2 linked regions of the Macaca mulatta genome follow. The protein of the gene in region 1 purifies or fractionates together with the protein of each later gene. This does not show direct contact. Links are inferred from orthologs where the notes say so. Each region holds a gene or a part of one and is shown in the gene's direction. Other genes may lie near its edges.

Evidence for each region.
Region 2: the proteins of TRAF7 (region 1) and MAP3K3 purify together in Homo sapiens (affinity purification with mass spectrometry; 5 studies listed by BioGRID and IntAct, with this or other methods). This does not show direct contact. The link is inferred for Macaca mulatta from reciprocal best matches to the Homo sapiens genes TRAF7 and MAP3K3.

The regions. Positions count from the first base shown.
Region 1 is NC_133425.1:3,393,662-3,397,460, forward strand, and holds part of TRAF7 (E3 ubiquitin-protein ligase TRAF7), read left to right. Parts: intron 1-1,700; 5' UTR 1,701-1,738; coding exon 1,739-1,819; intron 1,820-2,334; coding exon 2,335-2,392; intron 2,393-3,799. UniProt on the Homo sapiens protein: E3 ubiquitin and SUMO-protein ligase that plays a role in different biological processes such as innate immunity, inflammation or apoptosis. Potentiates MAP3K3-mediated activation of JUN/AP1 and DDIT3 transcriptional regulators.
Region 2 is NC_133421.1:73,415,385-73,419,852, forward strand, and holds the start of MAP3K3 (mitogen-activated protein kinase kinase kinase 3), read left to right. Parts: upstream 1-1,505; 5' UTR 1,506-1,548; coding exon 1,549-1,552; intron 1,553-4,468. UniProt on the Homo sapiens protein: Component of a protein kinase signal transduction cascade. Mediates activation of the NF-kappa-B, AP1 and DDIT3 transcriptional regulators.

The DNA.
Region 1 (3,799 bases):
GTGGGTGGCCTTACAGGTGGCATTGGAAGGGACAGGTGCGCCTGGGCAGCCTAGAGAAGGGGAGAGGAGACAGCAGGGGTGGTAGACAGTCTGGGAGCCCAAGTGCAGGGAACCAAGGGCTTGAGAGCCAGCCCCTCCCTGCAGACCTGTAGGCCGGGCTGGGGGACCCCAGGCCAGACTGCAGCCACGGTGGTGGGTGAGATGAGTGGCAACTTGAAGGCGCATGCAGGGCGGGTATCACCAGAGGGGCCCAGTCAGGAGGGACTGATGGAGGAGGTGCTGGAGCCAGCTGGACTCAGTGATGCCCCCTGAGCCGTGCTCCCACTGGGTGGGGGCAGAGACCAGCTCTGCCACTTTCTTGGCCTGGGGCTAGGGCTCTCCTGCTCCTTTCAGGTCCCTGGGGCCTTGGTCTGCAGCCTGGCTTCCCCAGGGTGAGAGCAGGGCCGCAGGGGTGGGCTCCCTGCTGCTGCGCCGCCTCCAGAGCAAGCTTGTTCTGAAGGCTCCTGCCTTGGGAGCCGAGCCGTGGTGTGTCCTCACAGGGTGCCGTGCATGGGCCTCGAGGTAGACAGTGTGGGTGGGCCCAGGACGGGAGTCCTGGGGGTGTGACTTCCCTCCTCACAGGGACCTCAGCTTCAAGCCGGGATCGGCGGCGGCTCTATCCACAGGCAGCAGGAGACAGGGCTGTCTCAGCCGCGCTCTGCCGGGCTCCTGGCTTCCAGGCTGCCGGGGTCCTGAAAGTGGGGCCTGCTCGGGAGGACGGGTGCCTGCTGACAGAGCCTGGTGCCCCACAGGGGGAGGGTGGGCATCATCCGGTACGGACAGCCCCTTCCCCGGGCTCTGTCCTGGGTGTTACCTGTTGGCTGGGTCTCCTTTTCCCTCTAATGTCTACCTTCCCCTGCAGCTGTCCCTGGGTCTGACCAGCACTCCCAGCACCCACGGAGCAGCCACGTCTCCCCCAGGCCCATCGGCCCCTGTCTTCTGGGAGGGTGATTCCTGTGTGCCTTCTCCCTGCCCCCCTTCCCCACCAGCCCCTGAGTCCCTGTGGCACGGGTGGGAGTGTGTGTGACCTGCGCAGCTTCCAGGGGCGGACTCGTCTCTCTCCTGCAGTTTTTTCCGTGCAGCGCGGTTTGTGCAGAGTTGGGTTCCAGTGACTTCCCCTGCAGGTTCTTTCTCTGGGGTGTCGCTGCTGTCTCCCCCTCTGCAGCCTGCTGCTGACTGGGTCCTGACCGTACCTGCCACGGCAGGAAACACATTCGTCGTGCCTTGACTGGTCCCTATGTGACTGGATCCCGCCACATGGGCCACACCCTGGGCCTACCCACCAAGGCCCAGCCTTGGCCCCAGGGACATTCAGCCTGGAGGTGACTGGCTGTGACTCAGGACCCAGAGGAGTAGAGAGAGCCGGGCAGGGGTCCCTCCACCTTGGGGAAGAGCTGGGTGGGCTCTTCAGGAGCTCAGAAGGGCTAAGTCTTGAGGGACGGGGATGCAGAGCTGCCTGCCCGCCCGGCCTCTGCATGCCTGGGATCCGTGTGAAGGGCCTTTGCCTCCTAGAGGCCTGCCTGAGCCGGTGCTGCTGGTGGAAGGCGGCTGCGGCGGCCCCATGGTGGTCCAGAGCAGGTCTGCATACTTGCAGCGGCCCGGCTGGCTCAAAGGGGCCTGGGCTCCATCTCTCAAGCCCCTCATTTGTGCTCCACCCACAGGAGATGCTGCCCAAGGACCCTAGATGCCTCTCTAGAGCATGAGCTCGGGCAAGAGTGCCCGCTACAACCGCTTCTCTGGAGGGCCCAGCAACCTTCCCACCCCAGACGTCACCACCGGGGTAAGGGCGTGCCCCAAGGGTAAGGGTCTGCCCCTCTGCATGCCCAACATCCCCAGAACCCCCCAGCATGCCCCAGGGACCTGGTGCTTCCTGCAGAGCTCCCAGCGCAGTCCCCTCCCAAGCTTGGGTCTCGGGGGAGCTCGTGTGTGTGTGTTAGGCGTGTGAGTGCTGCGTGGCCTGGCCCGGTCGCGTGTTAGGCGTGTGAGTGCTGCGTGGCCTGGCCCGGTCGCGTGTTAGGCGTGTGAGTGCTGCGTGGCCTGGCCCGCTCGCGTGTTAGGCGTGTGAGTGCTGCGTGGCCTGGCCCGCTCGCGTGTTAGGCGTGTGAGTGCTGCGTGGCCTGGCCCGGTCGCGTGTTAGGCGTGTGAGTGCTGCGTGGCCTGGCCCGGTCGCGTGTTAGGCGTGTGAGTGCTGCGTGGCCTGGCCCGGTCGCGTGTTAGGCGTGTGAGTGGGCTCTACATGTGCATGTCCTCCTTGTGTCCGGGAATGAGGCCAGGTCTCCTCCATCCTCCCTCTAGACCAGAATGGAAACGACCTTCGGACCCGCCTTTTCGGCCGTCACCACCATCACAAAAGGTGAGCCCTTAAGCCGAGGCCAGCCCAGGCTGGGAATAACTGGGGCACCCCCACACCCACCCTCCTTAGGACTGAAGGGCACTTCCTGGTGAGCCGGTGTTGCGTGCCAGTGCTGGGTGTGGGCAGCCTCACATCCCAGCCTCTGTCCTCACAGCCTCTCAGCCTTGGGCCTCCCTGCTGGACAGGAGTCGGGTGTCCTGCTCCTTGCGCCTTGGTGACTGTGCTGTGCCCTCTCTCCCTACCCTCTTCACCCCCTCTGGGGAGGCTGCCCTGACATCTCCAGCCCCACCACACAGCCCTGTCCCTTGTCACAGTGACCCCTAGCTTGTCCCCAGTCTCAGGCTTCTGGCCAGTCTCTGAAAGGTCCTGTGTGCCCGGAAGTCCTCTCTGGAGTTTGGGCCTAGGGCTTCAGTACCAGTGCTGCGGTTGTAAAATATTAATAGGAAAAGAGAGAGAGAGTGGAAGAGGTCCATAAGTCTGGTTTGTTTTTTTGAGATGAGTGTCACTCTGTCACCCAGGTTGGAGTACAGTGGCGTGATCTCGGCTCACTGCAACCTGCACCTCCTGGGATAAGTCCTCCTACCTCAGCCTCCCAGGAAGTTGGGACCACAGGCACCACCACACCTGGCTAATTTTTTTTTTATGTTTGGTAGAGATGAGGTGGCACCATGTTGCCCAGGATGGTCTCAAATTCCTGGGCTCAAGTGATCCTCCTGCCTCGGCCTCCCAAAGTGCTGGAATTACACGCATGAGCCACCATGCCAAACCCAATAAATCTTCACCTGCACATGACCACTGGGCGGGGTACACGACGGAAACCTGAAACTTCCTTGCTGCTTCTCAGCCCTAAACCCTAAGAACCAGAGTGCTGCAGGTTGAACGCAAGCACCGTGCTCAGGGAGACGGTGAGGAAGTGGCAGCACCTTCTTCCCGAGGTGCAGGGCCAGGGACCCTCGTTCGGGGCGGGGGCTCTGGGGAGACTTTGTTCTCTGTCCTTTCTGGCACTCTGCCCTTTGTAGAAGCACACCAGCTGCTAATTAGTTTTTTTAATTGCTCTGATAAACCTGGCCATGGGGTCACAGGGCCGCCAAGGACCTGTTCACAGTAGCACCTCTTTGCTGCCGGTGACTCCCTCAGGGGCTTTCCAGGGGCCCTCTTTTTTTTTTTTTCTTGGATGGTTCTTTTTTTTTTTTTTTTTTTTTTTTTGAGACGGAGTCTCGCTCTGTCACCCAGGCTGCAGTGCAGTGGCCGGATCTCAGCTCACTACAAGCTCTGCCTCCCGGGTTCCCGCCATTCTCCTGCCTCAGCCTCCCGAGTAGCTGGGACTACAGGCGCCGCCACCTCACCCGGCTAAGTTTTTGTATTTTTAGTAGAGATGGGGTTTCACTGTGTTACCCAGGATGGTCT
Region 2 (4,468 bases), on another chromosome or scaffold:
GAAGATCTGGGTGTATTAAAATGTTGAACAATGAAAAGGTTGGGGAAATTAACTATGGTCCCTTTAATTTTGAAACATCATGCAATCAGTACAATTGTTTTGGAACGATATTTGGTGGCACGGGAAAACAGAATAAAATGTAAGCATACTACAAAACAATACAAAGGCATTTTTGTCAAACGCCTATCTGGGTGGGAAATAGATTATCTCTGGGGTGGGAGCTTTTCTTTTTCATACTTTTCTGCATTTTTCAATTTTCCTACAAAAAGCTTGTATTGCTTTTATAAGAAAAAAGTTATTTTCTGAAAGAACCTCTGGCGGAACTCAGATTTCCAGGGACCCACATGCCAGCACTACCCCAGCCTTGGGTGTCTGAGGAACCTAGACTGGAGGGTGTGGCCCTGGAGGTGTGAGACTCAGGGAAAGCGGGGTTGGGCGCGGCCGCCCCTGCCCGGGGCAAGAGCAGCGTCGGGACCGGAGGACCAGCCGGGGGATGGGGCCGCAGAGGTGGCCGCGCGCCGGGAAATGCTCAGGCCAGACCCTCCCCACTCGCTACGCGCCCCGTGCTGGGCACGGGGAGGAGCAGGACACCAGCCTCTGGAACCACCCAGATCGCTGGGGCCTCCAAGTACCCGGAGGGCGAAGGCCTGAGGGCCCCCTCCAGCCGCCTACTCCTCACCCCAGCCCCAAAATAGCCGGCGGCGAACTGCGCCAGCCCGCGCGCCCGCCGAGCGTTCGCTGACTGACGGGAGGTGGGAATATGGGCGGAGCCTCGCGCCTGAGCTGTGATTGGAGCAACCAAGACCTCCCAGTCTCTCCCAAGAAGGGGAGACAGCGCCAGAGAGGGATGCGCAGAGGCGGGGGCTTAGAGACCTCTACGTGATTGGCTAGCAGCGCAAGGAGCCGGGCGCTGTCCCGATGATTGGCAGGCGCTGGACAGCCCCCGGAGACCGCCTTGGCTTCGCCCATTGGCATCCTGTGAGAGTAGGCGGGATTGGTTCATCGTGTGGTGCTGATGATTAGCTGGCCGCTGAGAGTTAGGGTGTTGGGAGAGAGTTGGGGGGGAAGGCGGGGGCAGCCGACTTCCTTCTTGTTATTGGCTGATGAGGTGGGTAGGGGTGGTGCGACGGCCCAGCGGCTGCCTGGGATTGGTGGGCGCCGGCGTGAGTGACAGACAGTGGGGCGAGCTGCGCGACCAGCGGTTTGTTTTTCGGAGCGTTCCTGAGGTGGAGAACGGTGGCCGGACGGAGCGACTGCGGGTCTGAGGGACTGGCGGGCGGGCGGGCCGAGCGGCGCCGCCGAGGCCGGGCTGGGCCGAGCCCAGAAGCGCCCGGGATGTAGCGGGCCACCCTGCCGATGCCACAGCGCCCGGCCGCGGGCGGAGCCGGAGCCGGAGCCTGGGGAGGCGGCGGGGGCCCAGAGCGCAGCCCGCGCCCCCCGCGCGGAGCCAGGCCCGCTGCCGTCCCCGCCGCCCGGGCCCCCGGCATGCAGCCCCGGCTGCGGAGGTGACACTCACGGACGCAAGCCGCCGCCGCCGCCATCGCCACCATGGGTAAGTGTCGCCACCGCCCCGGCCTGTGCCCGCGCTGCTTCGCGACGCCCCGCCCCGGGCTGAGGGAGGAGGACCCTGGGCCGCCGCCTGACAGGCATGGACAGCCTGCCTGGCCCGGGGCTGCGGACCGCCGGCAGCCCGCCTGCCCGCCCGCCGGGCTCGCACGCCGCGGCCCGGGCGGGGGTTCTGGGTCCGCGGGGCGGTTCGGCCGGCAGAGCCCTCTCGGCAGCCCTCCTTCCGGGCGGCGCGACGGGCGCATCCCGGGGAAGCGGCAGTGGGACCGAGGGCCCGTGCTCCGCGGGGCAGCCTGGCTCGAATGAGCCGGACCGCGAGCCCGAGGGCGGGGGAGCGAGAGCGCAGTGTGGGGCCCGGGCTGGAGGCTGCCGCAGGCCCAGCTGCTGTTGTGTCTTTTCCTTGATTTGCTTTTTTTTCCTGCCTGTGTCATTTCCTTCCCTTTGCTCACACAGGCCGGCCTGTGAGAGTTCCCGGGGCTTGCTCTCCAGCCCTGTGCGCGCCCCAGCGCAGGGGGGAGGGCGTGCGGGGCTTGGCTGGGAGGCGATTAAACTGGAATCTGTGATCAAGCGCGCGGTTGACAAATGCGTGCTGCACGCAGATTGCTGGGGGTCAGGAATTGGTCGGATGCTGCCAGTTAGAATTCACATCCTACTTTTTGAAAAATCTTGTTGCAGGGTTTTACATCCATTAATTTTTTCTTGCGGTATCCCTGAAATTATGTAACTTTTCAAAGAAACATTTGCTACACAAAAGAATTTCTCTGAAATGATTTCCTTTTTGTCAGTATTTGCAGTTTCTACTGTGAAGATGTAATCTAAGGAAAGCTTTTAATGTCTTCCGCACTTAGCATTTGAGTTGAATTATATTCCATATTCTTTTTGGTAATTTAGCAAATGACTACTGGACTAGACTAAGAAATAACATTTTAAACGTTATTTACTTCTCCTGTGCAGACAGGTGTTGTGATACTGTTGTCACAAGTTTTGCAAAATATTTGGTATTGCCCTAAATAATATTAAAAGGGTAAACTTCAGTGAGAGGATCGTTTGCAAAGCCTTGCGTTGCTTCTGTGATGTGCCCTGTGTGAAGAGGGAGCCTTAATGTTTGCCTTGCCCTATAGCAAGGTCAAGTCCTTTTTGTAGGAGGTTAACTGTATGCCATGTCAAAATCGCCAGATATTGTTTTGTGACCCATCTCTACACCCTGGCTTTGAATGAATTGCCTCGCTCTAGTTCATGCTATCCCTCATACAGTATGAGAAGGGTTTGTTCATTTGCTGGGCTTACTTTTTCCTTCCCATGCTTTCTTTCAGAAGTGCGTGCTCTTCTGGGGGAAGGTCTGTTGTGAGAGTGGACATAAAAGGAACCCAGTGAGGCCTGCTATTTAAATATATAATTGAAGAAATATTTATTGAATTTTTTTATAGATGAGACACACAATTCTTGTCTACCCCAGGATTCAAACATTTATCTTTTTTTTTTTTTTTTTTTTTTGAGACGGAGTCTCGCTTGTCGCCCAGGCTGGAGTGCAGTGGCTGGATCTCAGCTCACTGCAAGCTCCGCCTCCCCGGGTTCACGCCATTCTCCTGCCTCAGCCTCCCGAGTAGCTGGGACTACAGGCGTCCGCCACATCGCCCGGCTAGTTTTTTGTATTTTTTAGTAGAGACGGGGTTTCACCGTGTTAGCCAGGATGGTCTCGATCTCCTGACCTCGTGATCCACCCGTCTCGGCCTCCCAAAGTGCTGGGATTACAGGCTTGAGCCACCGCGCCCGGCCCAAACATTTATCTTGTATTATAGATTTTGAATAAATCTTCCATTTGATTTATGAGCCTATATTGTGACTTTCTCACAAGTCTTTTTTCTTGTCCTGGGGCAGCTGTTAGTCCCAAAGGAGAGTGTGAAATACTTAAGGGTGTGTAGACCATCCACTTCCTACTTTCTTGACTGCTACACCAGTTAGAGTGCCCACATGTGTTGACTACATCTCATTATCTAACATGAAAATAGGTATGAACCTGTTTTCACATTTCAAGACATTTTCAGAAAGTTTATAAGTGTGAGTACCTGGAGACCAGTGATGGGGAGGAAAAAAACTATATAGGCTGGGTCTAGAGCCTGAAAGAAAGAAGGGCCAGGACCTCAGGATCTTCTCATTTGTCTCCACGTCAATTGTCCCCCTGTCAGTTTTACATGAAGACACATGTGAAAGGAACATGCAAGAGGAATTAACTTGCCTGGTGGCTGCAGTATATTAGCCAAGTTAGTTTAAGAACCACTGCCCTAGCTTTCTTCACTTTCCCCCATACAGTTCTCTCCATCTTTTTTGTGAGGGGAGAGTAGATGACCTTGATACACTGTTAGAGCTAATATTGAATTCTTCTTGACACCCGGCTCTTCAATTTGCTTTCTATAGAGCTCAATGAGGATATATATACACAGATACATTCACACACAGTCTTTCTCTTAAATACTAGGTTCCATTTTGGTGATGAAAATTCGAATTCCCAGTTTAGTTAGTTTGCTTTTGGTTGCTGTAGTTCTACATAAACTCAAAGGATTTATAAGAGAGAAACACAGACTTCTTAGTATTTTAGTTATTCTTGTTAAACTTCAGCCTCATGAAGAAAGGACTAAAACTTGAGTCTGCCCTGCAGGTTCTTTGGTTAAGTAAGAGTCATATTTTCCTGAGCTGTTCTAAGCCCAAGACTGAAGCCTGTTTGACAACTTGGGTTAATAAAAACAGGTCAGATTTTATATTGTCTGTTAGCCCCAGTAAATTTCTAGTGGAAATTATTTATCTCTGTAAATAATAGGAAAATTTTTTTTGGCTTTGATACTGTGTGGCTATAAAAAATTGGGATTGACTGGTTGTTTTTTCTTGGTCACTCCAGAATTCATTT